2 linked regions of the Drosophila melanogaster genome follow. The protein of the gene in region 1 interacts with the protein of each later gene in a pairwise test. Each region holds a gene or a part of one and is shown on either strand. Other genes may lie near its edges.

Region 1 (3,753 bases):
TATTTGTTGGTTGTTGTTTCAGTTGTTGTTGTTGCTAGTGCAGTCTCTCAGTATTGCTGATTTGTTGTTGTTGCTGTTGGCCAATGTTGTTGCAGTGTCGTTGACCGTTTTTTTCTTCTTGGCAATGAAATGCGTTTTGTTTTTGTTGCTGCTGTCGCTGATGAGGTTGCCGTTTTGGTTGCAGTTGCAGTTGTTGTGCTTGCTGCTGTTGTTGTTGTTGCTGCTGCCGCTTGATGACGTTTCTTGACTTGGCTTTCTCTCAATCTATCTATCTCACTCGCTCTCTCTCTCTGTGTGTTTGTTGTTTTATTTCGTATCTTTTATATTTTGTTTAAGGATGATTTTATTTTTTTTTTTGGTTGGGGGGGGGGGGTACTTTTGGTAGGAGGGTCGGGTGGCGGGGTCGGGCGAGGGGCAGAGAGAGAGGGGGCGGGAAACAAGCGAGACGGCGAGACGAAGCGGCGACGCGTGAAACGGGATCGACGACGTCGACGGCGGCAGAGACAGCGACGCCGGCAGCGCGGCTTTCAGATTCGCGGGAAACGGAAAATCGGGAAAACTCGGGGAAAATTCAGCTTCGACTTTTCAAAGTTCTGGCTTTTGAAGCGGCTGCTGTTTTGGGGAAATTGCAGAAATAAATTTATAAATGAAACTGATTAGGTACACTCAAGAAAAATATTTCACTTAACTTTCACTTGAAAAAAAAATCACAATTTCAAATGACACATTACACTCGCATTTCATACATTCGCTATCAATTCGTATTATATTTACTGCTGAGTCCCAAGAATCTCACTTAAAAAAATGAATACTTATGATTGAATAAAATAAAATGTTTAGTGCTAATTAGCATATTGCTGCACATTTAAGTAAAATGTTTAACTTATCAAATGACAACATAGAATGAAATAAAATATCACACTAACATAGATTCCTCTAACTTAAATTCCGAAATGTTGAACTAATTTATATCGCTCGTTCCCCTTGTTTACTTTTGTTTAAATTCCTGCCATTTGAGTTGTTTACTTTATTTTAAATTTCTATAATTTATTCCAATTTGTTTGCGTTTCTCTCTCTCTCTCTTTTTCTCTTTCGGGCGAGGAGCGATTCTAGCCTTGCGTTTGCATTGGTGTTAGTATCGGTGTTAGCTTACGCACACATTTCTAATATCAATTATCCAGGGGGAAAATTTAAGAAAAAAATAAGATCGCTGGCTTTCTCCTGATTTTCGTACAACTATTTTCAATTTCGTGTGCGTTTGTCGTTTTGCCTTTTTCGTCTTTCCCCACTTTTCTTCGTTCTCTTTTCCACCGCTGCTTCTTCTTCTTCTCTTCCTCGTCCTCCTATCACCCTCTTGCTCGTTCGCCTGGCTCTTCACATATACCAGCAGACACACACATTCACGCACGCACACACATACATTCGCACACGCACGTTGTTGCTGCAACGTTTTTTTTGTTTTTTATTTCGGCGTCGCCTGCATTTTCATCTTAATTATCGCTCTCGCTCGCACGCACTGCGAGTTTCAATTCGCGTAAATAACTTCACTTTTCCCGGCTTTGTGCGACTTTTCATTCCATTCTAATGGGCGGCGAACGTTCGGTTCGCATTACGAAAAAATAAATAAAAAATAAGCGGAGCGTACGCATAATTTCGTCGGTCGGTGGAAAAACATCGAAAAACCATCGAGCCATCGAAGTGACATCGTAGCATTGTGATATCGATATGTTGTCGATGATAAAGAATCGACAAATCGATACTCATCGCGCATCGATATTTCGCCCATCACTCTCACGATGGTACACGAAAATATACTAGATTATACCATTTGGCAACATTGGCGTTGCCAGATAATAGAAACCGTTGGACTAACAGTTCAAAATTATTATTTAAAAATTTAACGGTTGTAGCTGTTCAAAAACAAACGGCTAATAATTTAGCTCAGCTCAAAAATTAAGCACTTGAGTTACAAATCATACACGAATTAATAAGCTATCACACTTTAGCACGGACCTTTAGCCAATGGTCACACTGCAGCCCGTGAAAACAACGGGCAATCATTCGATAACATCAGTTGAAAATCACGCTTGCTATCGATTACTTATTTTTGTTGTATTAAAAAATATTTTTGCGAATTGCCAAAAAAACTGAACTATCCACTGGTTAACTGGTCGAGACCAGCCAAAATCACGAGACACGATCCCACTTAAAAGCCAGACGGGGAGAGTTCAGTTGTGAAGCAGCCAGAAGTAGCGAAAACACTTAGCGGCTTTTCGTGTGACGCCGACTTTGGCTAAGGAGGAAAAGCGATTAAAGCAGGAAGAGCCAGACCAGGCGCCATCGACCCACAGACATGTCGCGCAGCGTGCGGGCGGAGACGCGCAGCCGGGCGAAGGATGACATCAAGCGGGTGATGCAGGCGGTGGACAAGGTGCGCCACTGGGAGAAGAAGTGGGTGACCATCAGCGACACCACCATGAAAATCTACAAATGGGTGCCCATCGCCTCCGCCAGTGAGAAGAAGGCCAAGCTGGAGTCCTCGCCGGGATCGGCTGCTGTCCGGAGACCGCCCCCCGGCTCGGGCGTTACGCCGGTCGGCGGCAGCAAGAGCGATAAGGAGAACTCTCAGAAGGGCACGCCCACGCCGCCGCAGATCACGCCCAGCTACCAGGGACTAACCGCCGAGGACTCTAACACCTGTAAGGATGGCTATGTGCTGGTTCTCTTTAAATAAGTAGTTGGGTTCTATGTCTGCAAGCACTGCGTTAGGAGCCAAAACAAAAAAACAGGATGCAGTATATGGATTTTAGGACCTTTACGAGGTGCCATTAGTCTCATAAGCTTGCGGAGCTGCTATAAAAATTGCTGTCTTTGCATTAGCGATATTGTTTACATTTGGTTTTTGGCTTCAAAGCGTATTTCCTATTCAGCACAATTTATCACTCCAAAGCACATGTTTACTCTGTCTTATTCATGCGATCTCTATCTGTACACAGGTTTCTCCGTCGTGTCCGACAGCCAGGGCGCCGACTTCGTGTCGAGTATGCCCTTCTCTGAGGACTCGAACTCGCAGGGCAGCGATGGACCCGTGAAGCGATTGAAGACGAGCGACTAGCCAAACATTCGCAGGCACAGCGTCTACAGCAGCAGCAGCAACTAACTAAGAGCCCTAGTTAAGTTAGGTTAGCACCGACAGCACCGGACGACGAGAGAGTATCTGCCTCAGCCCAAGACTTAAGCACTTCCCTTACACTAGCAGTTTCTTTACGGCTGTCAGACTGTCCCGCCATAAGCCTCATTTATTTGTCATCAAAGCGGGGGTAGCTGATGGTCGATAGGTCATAGGTCCATAGCATTAAGATCAAATGTGACAACTTATTTATTAGAAAGACATGCGAATCGATTTGAGTACGAACGTAGAATGGATATGTAATTTTGTAATAGCTGCTTAAGATACAAAACAGCCAGTCTGAATGTTGTAAACCGTGTAAAGTTTTTTGACTTTCGATTTCTAGACGTTTTGACAACAACTAGTTTATAACTTAGCGTACTAACATAAAGGCTACTTTTTTTTGTTCACTATAAAACTGGCTTGAAAACAATTGATGTACTCGTTCATAAGTTGATTTTCCTTGTAAATTTCGCTTGTAAACGCTTTTCTACGCATTCAGTGAATGCAACAGACTTGAAATCGAAGCGTTTACAAGCTAAAGCTTATAGTTTGTTAACGAATTGATCAAAGCAAGTCAAACC
Region 2 (3,753 bases), on another chromosome or scaffold:
ATCATCCAGCTGATACTTGGCGCCGATGGCGAACTTGGTGTTGCTGGTGCCGCTGGCCCACGACAGCTGTACACCCACATCCAGCTTGTCCGAAGTGCGTTGGAAGATCGAGCCGCTGAACTCCTGGCCATCGTTGCTAAACACCGGACAAGGCAATCATTAGTTTGCATTGATTTCATTTGCCATGCGTGGCAATTGCAATACTTACACAGCTGTGTGCAGAACAAAGTCCTTGGTGGTGTAGCCAAGGGCAAAGTTGTTGGTGGTCAGCTTGGACTGTTGTGTGTCAAATGCGGTCTGGTAGCCGGCCAACCATCCCTGGTAGCCAAGCACGGCAGAGGCATTGATCAAGGGGCCCTTCAGATCAATGTTCACATCCGAATCGGCCTTGACGTTCTCATGGCCGTAGGCAACCTTGAACTTGCCGTTCTTGTTTCTGACGATTTTTAATTAAATATGCAATATTAATTATTCTGCAGTGAACATATATGTAATAACATGTGATCCTTACCCAGACTGAGGAGCAAAGTTGCCCTCCAGGGACAGCTTCAGACCCTCGAGGAGCTGATCCTGGACAGCAACCTCGGTGAACAGCGTGTTGTCTGTGTTCCACTTCTCGGTGAGGGTCAGGCCGTAGTCCTTGACCTTGTACTTGGTCTCCAGGGAGCCGAAGACCTTTCCAGACTCCTGGTTGGAGTGTCCGGCTGTGTTGAACTCAATGCCCGACGAGGTCTTAGTCTTCAGATCGAGCTTCCACAGGCCAAAGTTGTAGCCTTTGCTGAAGATGTCGCGAGCCTGTTTGCCCAAATCGCTGTATGATGGAGGAGCCATCTGGAATGGATTGAAATGGAATGCATTAAATCGCACCTTCAATTAGTTGGTGAATAATCGATAATCATGACGATGATACTTATTGCGAAATCATTTCACTCGCCAGGTCATTAATTGCGTTTAGCGAACGATAAGTTTAATCTTATCAGCAACATAATGATTATTACTTTTTGCTCGACTTGATTTCAAAATGTTCTATCGGCCGCAAATGAAAAGTGAAAACTAAAAGACGCCAAAAAACAGCATCAACATGTCCCAAGAATTTCGAGGGCTTTTTCCCCATTTTCACTTTGGCTAAATGTCAATTTTGTGCGGCGAAAATAAAGAAATCAATTTAGATTAGTGTTCAAGGCGGCCACATGCAAAGAATCACCAACTGAAGCAGCGAAAATTCTGAGTGACTGAGGAGGGGGTCAATGCACGTCTGGGCAAAATAAAGTGGCGCAAAAAATAGAAGCGAAGATAGAAAACAAATAGTGACTAAGTCTATTTTACTCCAAGAAATTAAGGGTTTTCTATACCAATGCAAAACCATTTAAATCAAAATTTATTTTTCAAATATTTTTATAGGTTTTTTAAACTAAAATTTTAATAAAAATACTGAGATTTTCCCTATTTATCTGGCCACAGGTTTGCCTCTCTCTATGTTTACGTTCCGTTCTTGCTGGCATTAATTGCTGGTCAGTTCAGTCCCGTTAGGCTAGCGATCATTGACTCAGAAGCTAACTGCACATTTGCAACGTCTGCTGTGGTCACTGCTTCGCTGTTTCTATTTGCGTGACGTCAGGAATGCGACTCACAGTCGCGGTAGGAATATTAGTCGCGGATAAATAAATTTCTATCCGATATTGAGCATAAAAAAAATCAAACAAAAATAACCCAAAACATCTAATTGAAATTATTATATAGATATAACAATATAAATATTTCATGTTGTGTTCGGGGGGATTGGTGGGGGGAAACTCAAGGCAATCAAGGCAGAAAATTATGAAAAGCAGCGGCCAGCAGACAAAAATCTTTATGGCCGGCAGCCAAACGTTAAATGGGATGGGCTCTTATTGTTCCGGAAGTCAGGTGATATAACCTGGTCACTAGATGCTGAAAATAATACTATCAGGTGGATGTCCCGGTGAAAATGAATCAGCATCTCGTTGACGATGACCTTGACAAGCAGATTATAAAGGGGGTGGTTGGGTGGATGTGCAGCTCATTTTTTCGACAGTTGCATAACAGCAGGGAAATCGATGAGGGAAAGTGGAAAGCTAAGTGAATAGCTGCCCGAAAAGGTGGTCTATTGATTTTCCAGGTGACGTCACTGCGAAAATACCACCCACAATCGCGAAGTGCACCCACCTCCTCACATGACCACAAACAAACAAAACGACGATAAAGAACGGTAAAGAGTGAAATCGAAAATGTTTATTGAGCGAGCTGCACGCTGGTGGATGGCAACATGACGATAACGAACGGAATTGATGCGACATGCGTTACGTAACGGAAATTCGCCAGGCACTTTTCCATCGATCTCTCTGCTTCTTTGCCCCCTTTTTTCGCCGGCAGCTGCTGCCAATGAACTGCGAAGGCATTGGTGTGCGTGGACTGTTCATGTGTGGATGTGTGTGTGACAGCTAACCGGCTTAATATCCCCTTTAAATTTCGGATTTATCAATTAATTATTGCGTGATTTGGTGATAAGAAGCTCGCCCATCGTCATCCAACAAAAAAGTGCTCAGCCCTTTTGCTTTTCGTTCATGCGCGTGTCTACTTGCAATTTTTTCATTTCGAGGTTATGAAATCACTGGCACCGAAAATCCTGATTTTCCTTCTACCCATAGGGGTATCCATCACATTTCACTGAATTTTGAGGGGGTTTACTCCTGAGCTACTTACTTTTGATGAGTTTTAGTTTGGTTAGAGTGTAATGCGAAACGCAGAGGAACAGAGACACCACGACAAACGTACACCAAAAAATTTTGTAATTCTGTGCCTTAGTGTTACCAACCCTAAAAATTCGTCCAATAATTATTCCCTAAAACAAGCCGCAGATATACTATCTGGTAACGCTGCGTCACTCTTAATGGCAATGGTCACACTTTTTGTAACGGAAATTTGAAAACTAACGGTTACTTAAAATAATTATTGAAATTAGAATTCAATCATTCTATTAAGAAATTCGTTATCTTAAGAACAATTAACTTACATCAAAGTGTTTTTTTTTTACATAAAAGGGTTTCCTGCAAACGAAAACTTTAAAGTTGTGGACAAGTAAATGGGCTTTAAAAAAGTTATAATCCAAAGCAATCAAAATGCAATAAATATATTACAACTTTATTGATTGACACCAATGAAGTGTGTGCGATGCTCTTTTTATTTTTAGACGAATCTGCGTGCAGGGCCGCCAATCGACCGCATAATCCCATTCGGATGGGCCAAAAGCGAGACCAGTGCATTTGCCGTGCGGCGACAGAATGTTGAAGGCCCGTCTGCAGGAGGACGCCGTGCTGGGACGCTGCTTGGCCACCTCTAGCTCCGTGGAGCGGGGCGAGCTGGTGCTGGAGGAGCTGCCCTTCGCACGCGGACCGAAGCGCGACAGCGGAATCGTGTGCCTGGGCTGCTACCAGTTCCTGCAGTTCGGAGAGGACGGCGATTCGCTGGACCGCTGCGAACTCTGCGATTGGCCGCTGTGCGGATCGTGCGCCGACGACGAAGACGTCACGGAGCACCGCGGAGAGTGCCAGGTCTTCTCCGCCGCACGTGTCACTTTCGCCGGGAATGTGAGCGATGATGGCGTCTGCCCGCAGTTGGATTGCATAACCATATTGAGGTTAGTTCGCGGGCGCTCCAGCGGGGCGGGGGTGATGGTGCTGGGTACATCCGTACAGCAGGGGCTACTGGGTGCTACTAGGGGAACCTGGGCGGTCT

Evidence for each region. Proteins that work in one complex are often made in the same cells at the same time.
Region 2: the proteins of Zdhhc8 (region 1) and SmydA-3 interact in a two-hybrid assay, tested with the Drosophila melanogaster proteins (one large-scale study listed by BioGRID).

The regions. Positions count from the first base shown.
Region 1 is NC_004354.4:9,354,567-9,358,319, forward strand, and holds the start of Zdhhc8 (zinc finger DHHC-type containing 8), read right to left. Parts: upstream 1,662-3,753; 5' UTR 1,549-1,661; exon of another isoform or gene 1,421-1,548; intron 613-1,420; 5' UTR 1-612. Other genes in the region: BCL7-like, read left to right, coding at 2,354-2,699, 2,997-3,115. UniProt on the Drosophila melanogaster protein: Palmitoyltransferase that catalyzes the addition of palmitate onto various protein substrates and therefore functions in several unrelated biological processes. Regulates tissue growth possibly by regulating Ras64B protein stability.
Region 2 is NT_033779.5:10,848,033-10,851,785, forward strand, and holds the start of SmydA-3 (SET and MYND domain containing, arthropod-specific, member 3), read left to right. Parts: upstream 1-2,108; 5' UTR 2,109-2,227; exon of another isoform or gene 2,228-2,816; intron 2,817-3,208; 5' UTR 3,209-3,299; coding exon of another isoform or gene 3,300-3,655; intron 3,656-3,753. Other genes in the region: porin, read right to left, coding at 1-136, 209-436, 512-831.